Canis lupus familiaris: one gene and its partners. The protein of the gene in region 2 interacts with the protein of the main gene of each other region in a pairwise test. Links are inferred from orthologs where the notes say so. Each region holds a gene or a part of one and is shown on either strand. Other genes may lie near its edges.

The links.
Region 1: the proteins of CYTH1 (region 2) and ITGB2 interact in a two-hybrid assay, tested with the Homo sapiens proteins (2 studies listed by BioGRID). The link is inferred for Canis lupus familiaris from reciprocal best matches to the Homo sapiens genes CYTH1 and ITGB2.
Region 3: the proteins of CYTH1 (region 2) and CYTIP interact in binary tests that used the Homo sapiens proteins (3 or more experiments, as listed by UniProt). The link is inferred for Canis lupus familiaris from reciprocal best matches to the Homo sapiens genes CYTH1 and CYTIP.

What each region holds. Positions count from the first base shown.
Region 1 is NC_049252.1:38,476,884-38,480,755, reverse strand, and holds part of ITGB2 (integrin beta-2), read left to right. Parts: intron 1-7; coding exon 8-68; intron 69-306; coding exon 307-395; intron 396-2,879; coding exon 2,880-3,060; intron 3,061-3,872.
Region 2 is NC_049230.1:3,508,092-3,512,063, forward strand, and holds the start of CYTH1 (cytohesin-1), read left to right. Parts: upstream 1-1,014; 5' UTR 1,015-1,146; coding exon 1,147-1,273; intron 1,274-3,972. UniProt on the Homo sapiens protein: Promotes guanine-nucleotide exchange on ARF1, ARF5 and ARF6. Promotes the activation of ARF factors through replacement of GDP with GTP.
Region 3 is NC_049257.1:3,654,801-3,658,672, forward strand, and holds part of CYTIP (cytohesin-interacting protein), read right to left. Parts: intron 2,703-3,872; coding exon 2,636-2,702; intron 98-2,635; coding exon 1-97. UniProt on the Homo sapiens protein: By its binding to cytohesin-1 (CYTH1), it modifies activation of ARFs by CYTH1 and its precise function may be to sequester CYTH1 in the cytoplasm.

The DNA of each region.
Region 1 (3,872 bases), on a different chromosome or scaffold from region 2:
TCCCCAGGACATGCTGCGCCACAGCTCCCTGCTGCTCACCCTGGAGGGTCTGCTCTTTCTCTGGGCCGGTGAGTCCCACGCGGGCAGCTCCGCACGACACAGCCCACCACGTCCCGGGAGGGGAGAGCAGACCTGCCCCCTGTCCTGTCCCCCAGGGCAGCTCCGCCCCGACCCGGGCCTCCTGGGGACCCTCCTTCTCCACCACCCCGTGTGTGGGGCTTCCCTGCCCCATATCCATCAGCGGCGCCGCGTGGGGTCGGCCCGCGTCAGGCCACCTCTCACGGAGCTGCCTCCTCCTGCCGCCAGCGTCCTGCCAGGAGTGCACCAAGTACAAAGTGAGCACGTGCCGGGACTGTGTGGAGTCGGGGCCCGGCTGCGCCTGGTGCCAGAAGCTGGTAAGAGCCCCCCCCCAGGGACCTCGCGCCCGTCCTGCCCGTCCCGCGTTCCCGTCCCCGTTCCTGTCCCCACGCCCTCCCTCTGCCTCTGGAGCTGGGCACCAGGGGGACCACCACTCTGTTTCCGGGGAGGCACGCGCAGCCTGGGGGCTGAGAGACAGACAGACAGACAGACTCGGCCCCACCCCAGGGCAGCCTGGGGTCACCCGGCCGTGTGCCCCCTGCCCAGGCAGGAGCCCTGAGCGGGGACCACAGGACGTGAGGAGGTTGTCAGGAAGTGAGAGCACAGGGACGAGGTGCGGGAGGCTCCGCATGGGACCTTTGTGCTTCTCACGCGGCGGCCGCAACCCTCCTGTCCCGGGCCCATCCACCTCCTGGAGAGAAGCCCCAGGCCCCGCCCGCGGCCCCCTCCCCCTGCGCCCCTGTCCCGACCATGCCCTCCCGCCCTGGGGGTCCCTGAGGTTCTGACGCTGCAGGACGGGCCGGAGACGCATGCGCGCACTGAGGGTAGACTGCAGACCTGAAGCCCCTTTGTCCCTCGTTACTTCAAGCATCCGTCGCTAGCCCAGGCCCCCCAACCCCGACACCCACCACACGCTCCTCCCGGTCCTGGACCGTGGCCACGGCACCTGCTCACGTCTGCACGCCCTACGCAAACGTTCCCAGCTGTGCCCATGATGCTCTCGATCGCGCTTGCCCCGGGCTGTGCGATGACCCAGGATCACACCCGGCAGCAGGTGTCCTGGCCCTTCAGTCCCCCGGAACCGGGAGCCCCTCAGCTCTGGGTCACGCACCACCCCCCGCGCCCGGCACTTCCGAGGGGCTCAGAGCAGCGGCCGCTAGGAGGCCCGGCGCTCGCTCTCCCTGGGTCCAGGGCGTGTGTTTGGGCAGGTGCCCCGCACGGGGCTCAGGGCGTGCCTCTGTCCCCACACTGGTGATGCTGGTGAGAGCCCCCCAGCCGAGGGGCGTCGCCTCCACCGCGATGTCACCATTAGCTCTTTGCGGTTAATACGTGACTTGTGGGGTGATGCACGTGGCCAGGAGGCCTGCTTCCTATGAAGCTTACACCCCCTGACGTTAGCGCCCGGGGGCGGGGGGGGCACCCCAACCAGTCCGGCGAGGGCTGCACCGTGGGGGCGTCCAGCGCGCGCACTCCCCTGTGGCTCCTGGTGTAAGGAGGACTTCATCCACCTCCCCCGTCTCTGTCCCATCAGAGCGTCCAGCAGGCGCACCTCCGCGTCCATTTTCTGAGCACTTTTTTTCTTTTCTTTTTTTTTTACATTTTTTAAATTTAAATTTAATTTGCCAACATATAAGACCCAGTGCTCATCCCATCGAGTAGTGACATGGCCCAGGCCCAGAATCGTCCTCGTCCTCGCCCCCGCCGGGGAATCTGGCGGTTCTCCGCAGGCTCCTGCCTCCCTTTCAGGAGAAGCCGGGCTCCGGCCCCCGCAACACGTTTCCTCCTTTTCTCGGTCCCGCCCGACGCGGCAGGGGCTTCGGAGCGGCCGGCCCACGCCCCGGCCACAAGCGCCTACAGGGAAGTGGGGTGCCGGGTGTGGTCTCCCCCCTTTGACACGGTGTGGCCGCAGCCCCGGGGGTGAAACGTCCCCGGCAGGTTGGAGTTCCCCATTCCCCGCGACAGAGCTCGTTAGATTCCTTGGAAATAGGGCGAGGCTCATTAGCTTCCACGCAGACTGTAGCGTAGGCCTTTGTTCCCGGGGGGCTCGCTTTGTTCCTCGGGTCCTGCGAGCAGTGACAGAGGTCCCGGGGGAGACGGGCGGCTCGGGAAGTGCCCACCCTCCGGGCGCCGCGGTGGGCCGCACCTAACCAGCCTCCGGCATGGCCACCCCTGAGACATGACCTGCCCCTTCCTGGGCCCCCCTGAGAAAGGGGGCAGAGACGTGTCCGGGTCCCTGAGCGTGTTCTTCCTTGGCCTGGCGTCAGGACCCACGGAACGGGGCCCCTGCTCCCACCCCATCCTCTCAGAGCCCAGGGGCCTCTATGAGGACGCTGCCCTGATCCAGGACCCCGCCCGCCTCTCCCAACAGCCTGGGGCTTGGCCCAGAGGCCGGCCTGTGTGCTGGAGCCCCCGGGGCGGCACCTGCCTCCTCTCGGGAGGGCGCTTCTGCTACTAAAGGCCCAGCCACCCCGGCCACTCCTGGCCAGGTGCCCCGGCAGGGCCTGGAGCTGCTGAGCGACCCCAGGGACAGCCGGGGCCTGAACACCTTGGTCCTTCCATCATCTGGGGTGACCCACAGCCTCAGGGAGAGGCCGTCAGAGGGCGGGTGTCCTCCTCACACCCAGCTGCCTGGCCTCCCACCCTCACCCCTCCCCACCCAGACACCTGTCCCCAATCCCAGGTGCGACAGAGGAGGGGCCGCCTCCTCAAGTGACCCCGAGGGCCGCTCTCGTGCAGCACCCACAGTGCGGCCCCCACCCTGCCTCTGCCCTCCTCCTGAGCCCTGACCCCCCGCCCCCCAGAACTTCACTGGGCTAGGGGAGCCCGACTCCGTTCGCTGTGACACCCGAGAGCAGCTGCTGCTGAAAGGATGTGCGGCTGACGACATCATGGACCCTCAGAGCCTGGCCGAGATCCAGGAGGACAAGAAGGGCGGCCGGCAGCAGCTGTCCCCGCAGAAAGTGACGCTCTACCTGAGACCAGGTAGGCTTGGCCTCGGCGGGGGTCAGGGGGCACTGGCGTGTTGGTGGCTCTGGGCGCCAGGGCTGGGTGATGGTCCAGGCGTCCGGTGGCCAGGTCGGGCAGCAAGGCAGGCGAGCCCCGGAGACTAGAGACTGTTGGACACTCGGCCAAGGGAGTGTGGCCCCTGCCCTCCGCCTGCGGGAGGACCCCCAACGCCCACCATCGGCGGCTCTGTGCCTCGGCTCTGTGTCCTTTCCAAAGGGGAGGAGGGGGATCCCTGGGTGGCGCAGCGGTTTGGCGCCTGCCTTTGGCCCAGGGTGCGATCCTGGAGACCCGGGATCGAGTCCCACGTCGGGCTCCCGGTGCATGGAGCCTGCTTCTCCCTCTGCCTGTGTCTCTGCCTCTCTCTCTCACTGTGTGCCTCTCATAAATAAATAAATAAAATTAAAAAAAAAAGGGGGGGGGGGAGGAGGAACTCTTCTATCCCCGTCTCACACCGTCAGGGGCTCTTGGCAGAGTAAAAGCCCTGATGAGTCCTGTAGCCAGGGAGCCTGAGCGACGTCGGAGTCATTGTTGCTCAGACTGACTTGACGGCAGAGCCCCGTCAGTGCTCCAGGAGGAGTCCTTGGGGGAGGCGGGCCTGGTGGGAGGAGCAGGACCACGGGGCGGACTGGCCAGGGTGGGGCTGGGTGAGCACTGCCCCCCTGGTGCACCCGGCAGGCGGCACAGACGGAGACGACCAGGCCCCCTCCCTCCATCGTTCACCCTCCCGTCACGTGTTTGCTGAGCACCTGCTACGCTGAGGCTGGGACAGGGGCCTGCGTCCGGCTGGG
Region 2 (3,972 bases):
TGAGGAGGCCCGGGGAGGGGCCACCCGGGGCCCCGAGTTCAGTCTCTTCCCGGAGCAGCGGCCGTGGGCACTGAATCCTCTCACCGGCGTTCACGGCGAGGACTGCAGAGGGGACAGCCAGTGCCCTCCGTGTCCCAGAGCTGCGGAAGGACCGGCCTGCCTCCAGTCTTCATGCCGGGTGGCTTGTCACTGGGGCTCATTCTGTCTCCTTGGTGGTGCCGGCGGGGACCCCTGCTCTGATGCTTTGCATGGTGCTGCCCTAACCCCGCCACGCCGCCTTCCAGCCGCTGCATCCTTAACCGTCCTCGTCCTCCCCGTGCCAGTTCCCACGATGCGCCGGTGTAGGGACAAAGGTCAAACCAGTTCTAGTATTAAGAAAACCATCTCAGAAAATAAGAAAGAAGTATTGGCAGGTATCAGCAGAGCATGGCCCACTCTGTGTAGATCATGAATTTCCCTCTTTTCTCCCCATATATGTTCAAAACGTAATTGAATTTACTGGCAAAAATGGCCAATTGTAAACCTTTAAACAGCCTCCTCGTGTAGCCAGCAGAGGGCAGCACAGACGGCATTGACTGCATCATGTATTTTTTACTTTATTTTAAAAGGCGTCTAAAACTACTATGCCAACTACTTTCCGTACAGTTTGTCTTCTTCTTCTTCCTTTTTTTTTTTTTTGTAAGATTTTATTTATTAATTTGATAGGAGAGAAAACAAGCAGGGGGAGAAGCAGAGGGAGAGGGAGAAGCAGGCTCTCCGCCAAGCAGGGAGCCTGATGCAGGACTCGATCCCAGGAGCCCGGGATCATGACCTGAGCCCAAGGCAGATGCTCAACTGCTGAGCCACCCGGGTGACCCCCTCATTTGAATTTTTTGTAACACATATGTATTTTCTTTGTCCTCAGCCTTTTAAAAATTTTTCAGTTATATTATTTTTTATTTTTTGGCAAGATCCATTCCTGTTTGTGAGGAAAAACAGTACAAATCTGTATTTTTCAGGTAACCCAAGCAGAAGTAACTTCCCAAAGAGTTTGCAGTACTGCCAGGTGCCTGTGGATTTTCTTCTGCAGAGGATTGACGTCTTTGTCACCCTCCAGCCCAGCGCACAGCTGCTCTTCTGGGAGTCTTAGGACACTCGCATGGTTCTATGCCCCATGCCACTCTCGCCCTGGCAGCTCATCAGGAAAGATCTCAGCTGCAGAGGAGGGGTCCATCAGGAAGCAAAACCACTTACCCTCACATCCCAGAAAGGCTGCAGGGCTCCGTGGGCCTCTGTGAGTGGAGACAAGGGGTGAGGGTAGGGATTGGATGAGGGTGGAAGGTGTTCATGGCAGGCATGAAGGCTCTCAGGTCCCCTCCCCACATCCTGCAGCAAGGCAATGTCTCCTCCACTTTTGGTGGAACACAAAGGTTTGATTTCTGGAGAGCGCTATGGCGGCACAGGGAGAGTGAGCAAAGGTGTGTGTCCTTCGGTGTGGCCGTCCCACCCTTTCTCCCTCCACCTGGCGGCCCGGCTGCTCTGCCCAGGTTTGTAGCCCACACAGCCCAGGAAGGAGGTTGGAGGATGGCTCTTCAGGCTGATGGGAGAGAGAACCCACGGAGCCCCTCGCGGTCCGCGTGTTACCGCTTTCCTGCTTTAAGGGAGACCCAACGCTCCACAGGCCGCACCCACCACACGCCTTCTCACCAGGCTGCTGGTGCTGGCCCTTAGATGTGGAGGGACAGCCCACATCTTCACATCTGCTAGTGTGTGCCTGTCCTCGCCAATGTGCCGGCGTTTGAAAAGATGTTTGAGGAAACAGATTGTAGCAGGGCATTTTAAAAGCCACATACCTAGGAGTCTTAGATGTGATGTATTAATAAAACAAGAATAGGATGCTATCCAAAAGGAACATTCGGAGATTAAGAGTGGGCTCATGCGAGTTAAAAACAGCCAAAAGAAAACAATCCAGAGACTGGAAGATGAAGTAGAGAGCTGCCCCAGGGCAGGCCGTGACAGCACCACACACTGGGTGGTGTCTGCAGCGCTCTCTCGGGTGTGAGTGCTGCGGGTGTGAGACGGGGAGTCTGAGCAGGGCCGGCATCGGTGCTTCTTGCTCCCAGCTCCCTTCCTGGCCCCCAGGAGCCTGTCGTCCTGCTGTGTGCTCTCAAGGTATGAGGTACAAGGAGAGCCAGTTGGCCTCACTGGCCTCTTCCTGGACGGCCGCCAATCCCACACATGTGTGCTCCTTCCTCACGGCTTGATTGCCTCCCAAATGCCATCACGTTAGGGTTTCAGCACGCAGATCGGGGGTAAACGCTAACATTGAGTGCCTTGCAAGAATACTTCCTAGAAAGTGGTTCCACAAGGAGATGAAAAGTAGGATTCACAGTGGAGGTCCAGCGTCTAACAGAAACTCTAAACGGTGAGAGCTGAGAAAAAAGGGTAGGACATCATCAAAGATTATGAGACTTGAGAGTTGGGGTCTGCCTAGGGGCTAGCACAGTGTGTGCAAACGGACCCACACCTGGACACTGTGTTACAAAACCACACAGCGCCAAGGGTGAAGACCCTGAAAGCCTTCAGAGCAGGAAGATGGTCCCATAGAAAATTCTGGGGTTGGAATGGCACGGTCACTAACAGCACTGTGGGAGCAGAAGGCAGTGAGGGAATGCCTTCGCCATCGTGAGGAAGCGATTTTAACTTACAGCCCTGAATCCAGCCAGAGTGCCAGTCGAGTGTGGGAGGAGGACAGGGGTATTTCTGGACATGCAAAATCCACAGCAGTGATGGAAACCCATCCCTCGTGTCCTTCTTAGAGGATATGCTCTAGCAAAAGAAGGGATCCAGGAAGGAAGCACGGAATGAGAGAAACGGGAGGCGGCGTTTGGAAGAGGCAGAGGGAATTGCCAGGGTGCTGCTGTGAAAGCAGCAAGGCCGGGCCGGGAGGAGTGTGGAGGTTTTTGGAGGGCTGACCCAGAACTGGGTTGCTCCTGTTGACAGCGTCATACCTGGTGGAGAGAGCTTGGCTTTCCATCTGTAAGGCAGAGAGCTAAGCACACAGACACAAAGGAGACACTTCACGCCACTGCGTGGTAATTTCAATCCTAGTACGTTGTGTAGCTAAGCTGTGAGCAGTGTTTATGGAAGTAATAAACACTGATTTAACCCAAACCTCACGTGTAATTGTACGGAGCGTGTGTCAGGGCGGGGAGGGTGGGGGTCAGAGCTGAGTCTTCCTCTTCCATGGCAGGCAGTTGCTGCCCAGAATTGAGGACTCGGGAGCAGGTAGTGTGCTTGTGATGTGTGGAAGCAGGGAGGTAATCAGCAGAACAGAGAGCTGAAGGAGCCTACCTCCACGGAGCAGGATGCGAGCGTGGGGGCTGCAGTTGGGCAGGAAACTGTGGGTTGCTGTTTTAAGCCATAGGTACTGTTTGTTTTTTTATGTGATGTGTGCACGTTATTTTGGTTAAAGAGGAAACACTAGACACAAGGGGTAAGAAAAGCCTGGGGGGGCAGTGGGGTCGCATCCAGGAGGGTCTTGGAGCTATGATGAGGAGCTGAGACCTCGAGGCAGCGGATGGGGCCGTCGCAGACGTCCTTACCCTGCCGAGTGGCTCCTGGAGCTCGTGCCTTGGCGTGCAGCCCCCCGCCTGTGCCGTCGGCCCTCTCCGTCCTGCTGTTGTGGAGGCTGCCCTGCCTGCTGGCCTCCACTGGATCTGTCCAGGAGGCTGGAGAGTCCGAGGAGAATGAGGTCAGGGGGTCTTCTCCCTGCATGGTGGCTGAGGGTTATCCGGGCCCTGTCCCAGGGCCTGTCCGGTAGCCCCTGCAGCCGGCCGCCGCCTCCCGCAGACCGCAGGTGGGTAGGGCGCTCAGTCCTGATCACCCTGGGGTGCTTCACTGAGGCTTGAGAGCCTCCCCGGACTCCGCCCTTACCTTTGTGGACAGTCTCTCAGTAACTGTCCACACTCCCCCTTTGAGTGTGCCCTGTCT
Region 3 (3,872 bases), on a different chromosome or scaffold from region 2:
CGGTCCAGGAGGGCTGGGCCTGGCCCGGGCAGGGTTCCAAACAAAACTGACTCATCTATGTCCATGTTTTCCAAACTTGGGCAGTTACCTGTGTTACCTAGAATGCAGAAAACAAAGTCTACTGTGGAATGGGTATGAGCATCATTCCCCATAAGTAAACACAACCAAATTTCTCTTCAAAGGGTGTAAGAAAGAGTAAAGGTGAGTAATATTTTTCCCTGAGTTTCACCTGTATGAATAAGTGATTATTTATGAGACTGCTTGATAAACCTTATAGTGGTATTTCCCAAACTATTGTTCATGGACTAGCTTCCATGTAAAAAATGTTCCCTGGTCACAGAAATAGTACTGGAAATTAAATAAATTTAAATAGCTTCTTCATGTAAGAATAGTCAAGTCATCTGAGAGTATGCTGGTATGACTTGTCAAGCTCCAAAAGTATCACTTCTTAAACAGAAGTGACCCTGCAACCTTTTATTGAAATTCTCACAGAAATGGCATTCTAAAGAGTACACTCAGAAAAAAAAAAATAAAGAATATACTTGAGGAAATGCTGTCTTACGGACTTCTTCCATTAAGTTCCTCTGATTTTTAGTTACCACATTTTTCAAGGACTTATAAAATTCTTATAACATCACCCGAAGTGTATGGGAAACACATGTAGCCTCCACCTGTAGGCTGATTATAGATAATTCAAAACAGAAAGGGTATCTTCCAACCTCAATATTCCATGTTTCTTCCTAGAATACTTTAATACTTAAATGCTCTGGAATAGTACCATACCCAGAAAACATCCCTGTCCTCAAATAAGTAACAATTTATTTGTAGGAGCTGAGTTTTATCTGCTTAGCTGATTTTTTTCATCAACCTTTCATAACCTGCATCTGGGCTCTCCAAGCTCAGATTTTAATTGCACACCAACATCCTGTCCCTGCCCCGCTTGCTTATGCACTGAGCTGGCTGGTATGCTGCTAAAAGGAAGGGGATTATTTGTTACACTAGCCTGAGAACACGGTAATTAGAAGGGGACTCTGCTTCAGGAACAGCAATGGAACACTGCACACTCAGAAATGGTTTTACTCTGCGCTGATTATTTCTCTACTGTCACTTTCCTTTGTCCTTGATGAGCAATACAAAAAGAGCCTGATTTTCCATTTAATCTGCAAGGTTGAAGATGGCCAGCTCTGCACTGACTCGTCAGAATGCTTTCCTTTTTTCCTAATAAAACCTACTTTATTTCATCTGGCAACAGCCTGATTGGAAAGCAATTGAGAATCTCATACCCTGTGTATTTATTCTAGGTCTAGAAAAAGCAAACTAAAGAATTCCTTCAATCTCTCAAAAAAAAAAAAAAAGTGTAAAACAATGGCTTTAATGAGGAGTCATTCCCCTTAATCCTGAACTAAAGATCTTGTCTACAGAAGCTATTCCTATAGAACCCCTGGACTGCCTATACACATTAGGCCAAACCTCATCTCCACTCTAGAATGTTCCAGAAGCAGACGCAGAGGTTTCCCAGACATCCTCAAAGTCTACAGAAATCCAAGAGTGGCTGGATTTAAACCTGTGTCCTGCTAGGAAACGTCAGACCCCCAAAAAATCTGCTACAATTGTTTTAAAATATTAATTTAAAAAATAATAAAATATTAATTTAAAAACAGACAAGAGAAATAATTTATATAGAAGCTTCATTTAAAAAACAGAATTTCAAAATAAACATCAAAGCCATATATTAGTGCCTAATTATGAGTTAAATGTATCTTTTATTCTGTAAATAAATTATTACCTGAAACAAACAAAGCTAAAGGTTATAAATAGACTTTAGCTCAGGGTTATCTGAAGAAGGTATAACCTGTATTTCACACTAAACCGCTAAGCCACCGAGGCGTCCCCCAATTTTTTTTTAAGCAGGCTCTATACCCAGCACAGAGCTCAACATGGGGCTCGAACTCATGACCCTGATATCAAGACCGGAGCCAAGATCAGTAGTTAGACAGTCAACCAACTGAGCCACCCAGGTGCCCCCAAATCAATTAATTTTAAACTCAACCTTTCCTTTCAGAATTTACACAGCAGCAAGAGCCATGCATTTACTGTTAGAATGATCGCTGGTATTTCCCGTCTTGGGTTTGCAGGCATGAATAAGCATTTCTCTGCATTCACATAACTTATATAATATGTACAAATGGTAGGAGCTCTACCCAAGAAGCAATCTACCATTCCAGCCTCAGTAATTTCTGAGAACTACACAACCCTGAGCCACAAGCATTCTCAGAAATTTAATTCATCTATTGTAATAGTAGGAAAATCAGACTATTATTCCCACTGTTCTTCTAAAATCTCCAGGTGCTTCTTACAAGTGTGTGCACACATGTGAGAGTGTGTGTGTGTGTGTGTGTGTGGTTTTGTGTGCATATGTGTTATATGCATGGAAGAAGGGATGTGACTTGACTTACTCTCTGAAAGCACAAGTAAATCCAAAGGTCATGCCAAAAAACCCCCAGAGACCAGTATTTTTGATCCATGCTAGACAATGTTTTCTTATAATGATGATAATCTTACAACAACTTAGAGGTCGAAATACCAAAAAGATGAATGTTAATGTGGTTTCTTCTGAACAGGAAATCACACTTACCATGAAGCAGACGCTGTTCCTGTAACTGCAGAGATCTGAACTCCACCCATTTTTTCTTCAAGGTTTGCTGATAAAAAGGAAAAAGAAGTGTTAATTATTGGGAATCCCCAGTGAAGGTAGCAATTTACCTCTAGATGTTGCGATTTGTCATTAATATCTTTCCTTCCTTCCTAGCACTAACAAACTCCTCCATTCATTTGAAAGATTATTTTCTACACAAAAGGGAGATATTGGGAACATTACTTCTGCAAGAAATAATCTAGTAGCATCAACAAGTTGAAACTATGACAAAGGAAACAACCGGCAATAGAAACAATGGCATTTATTTATTTATATATTCTTAAAAATATTACAGAACCATATTGCTTGGGTTTGTGTATATTTACCAGCTGTTGAGGCAAGGATTTACACTCTAGGCTTCCCCTGTGTGTAAGATGAAGGCAATAATAGTATCTAAACCCTGGGATTATCCTGAGAATTGGTAGAGTCAGTAGGACAGAAAAGGTGCAAAACAGTGAACAGAGCTTAGTAAATGTTCAGCAAGTATCATCATTCTATCAGCCTGCACTGTTAAAGCAGTGTTTATCGCTGCACACCTATGTACTTTTCACAACAAAAAGGGGAAGCCAGTCTGTCTGAAAGGTTTCCTTGGAGGGCTAAACTTAGAACACCGCTAAGCACCCTGACTTCTTAGCTGCTTCCTTCCTCAGCTGCCCAGCACATGCGAGCAGCGGCCCAGGGTGGCCATGAAGTGGCTGCTGTCATGGTCAAGACTGCTCGTGAGGCGTGCCCTCTTCCATCAAAGGGGGTGATGAGAATCAAAGCAAACCACCCAGAGACATCTGACAAGGACAGTTAGAGGCTCACTCTCCCTCCCGCCCTTCGGCCTTGCCCTGCCGGCTCAGATCCCCACATCAAGCCCAGCAGACAGGCACAGCTCAGCTTTGCCTATGGCCACTTAATCCCAAGGAAAGGCAGCCTAGTTGGAAAGGAGCACTCCCTTGTAAGAAGCAGTCTAGGAAAGGTAGATGGAGGCTATAAAGGAAGAGCGGGGGACAAAAGTACATTTGGAAGGGGAAGGCCTAAGGAAAAGAAAATAATAAAATCACAAGAATGTCATCAAGTGCTTAAGGGAACTGGTTCCTCAGTTTGGAGACTGAACACTCACTGGGCCGGATTTCCAAGCTTTGGTAACCGTAACATTTAGCATTAATTTAGGATTAATTTAGCATTAATC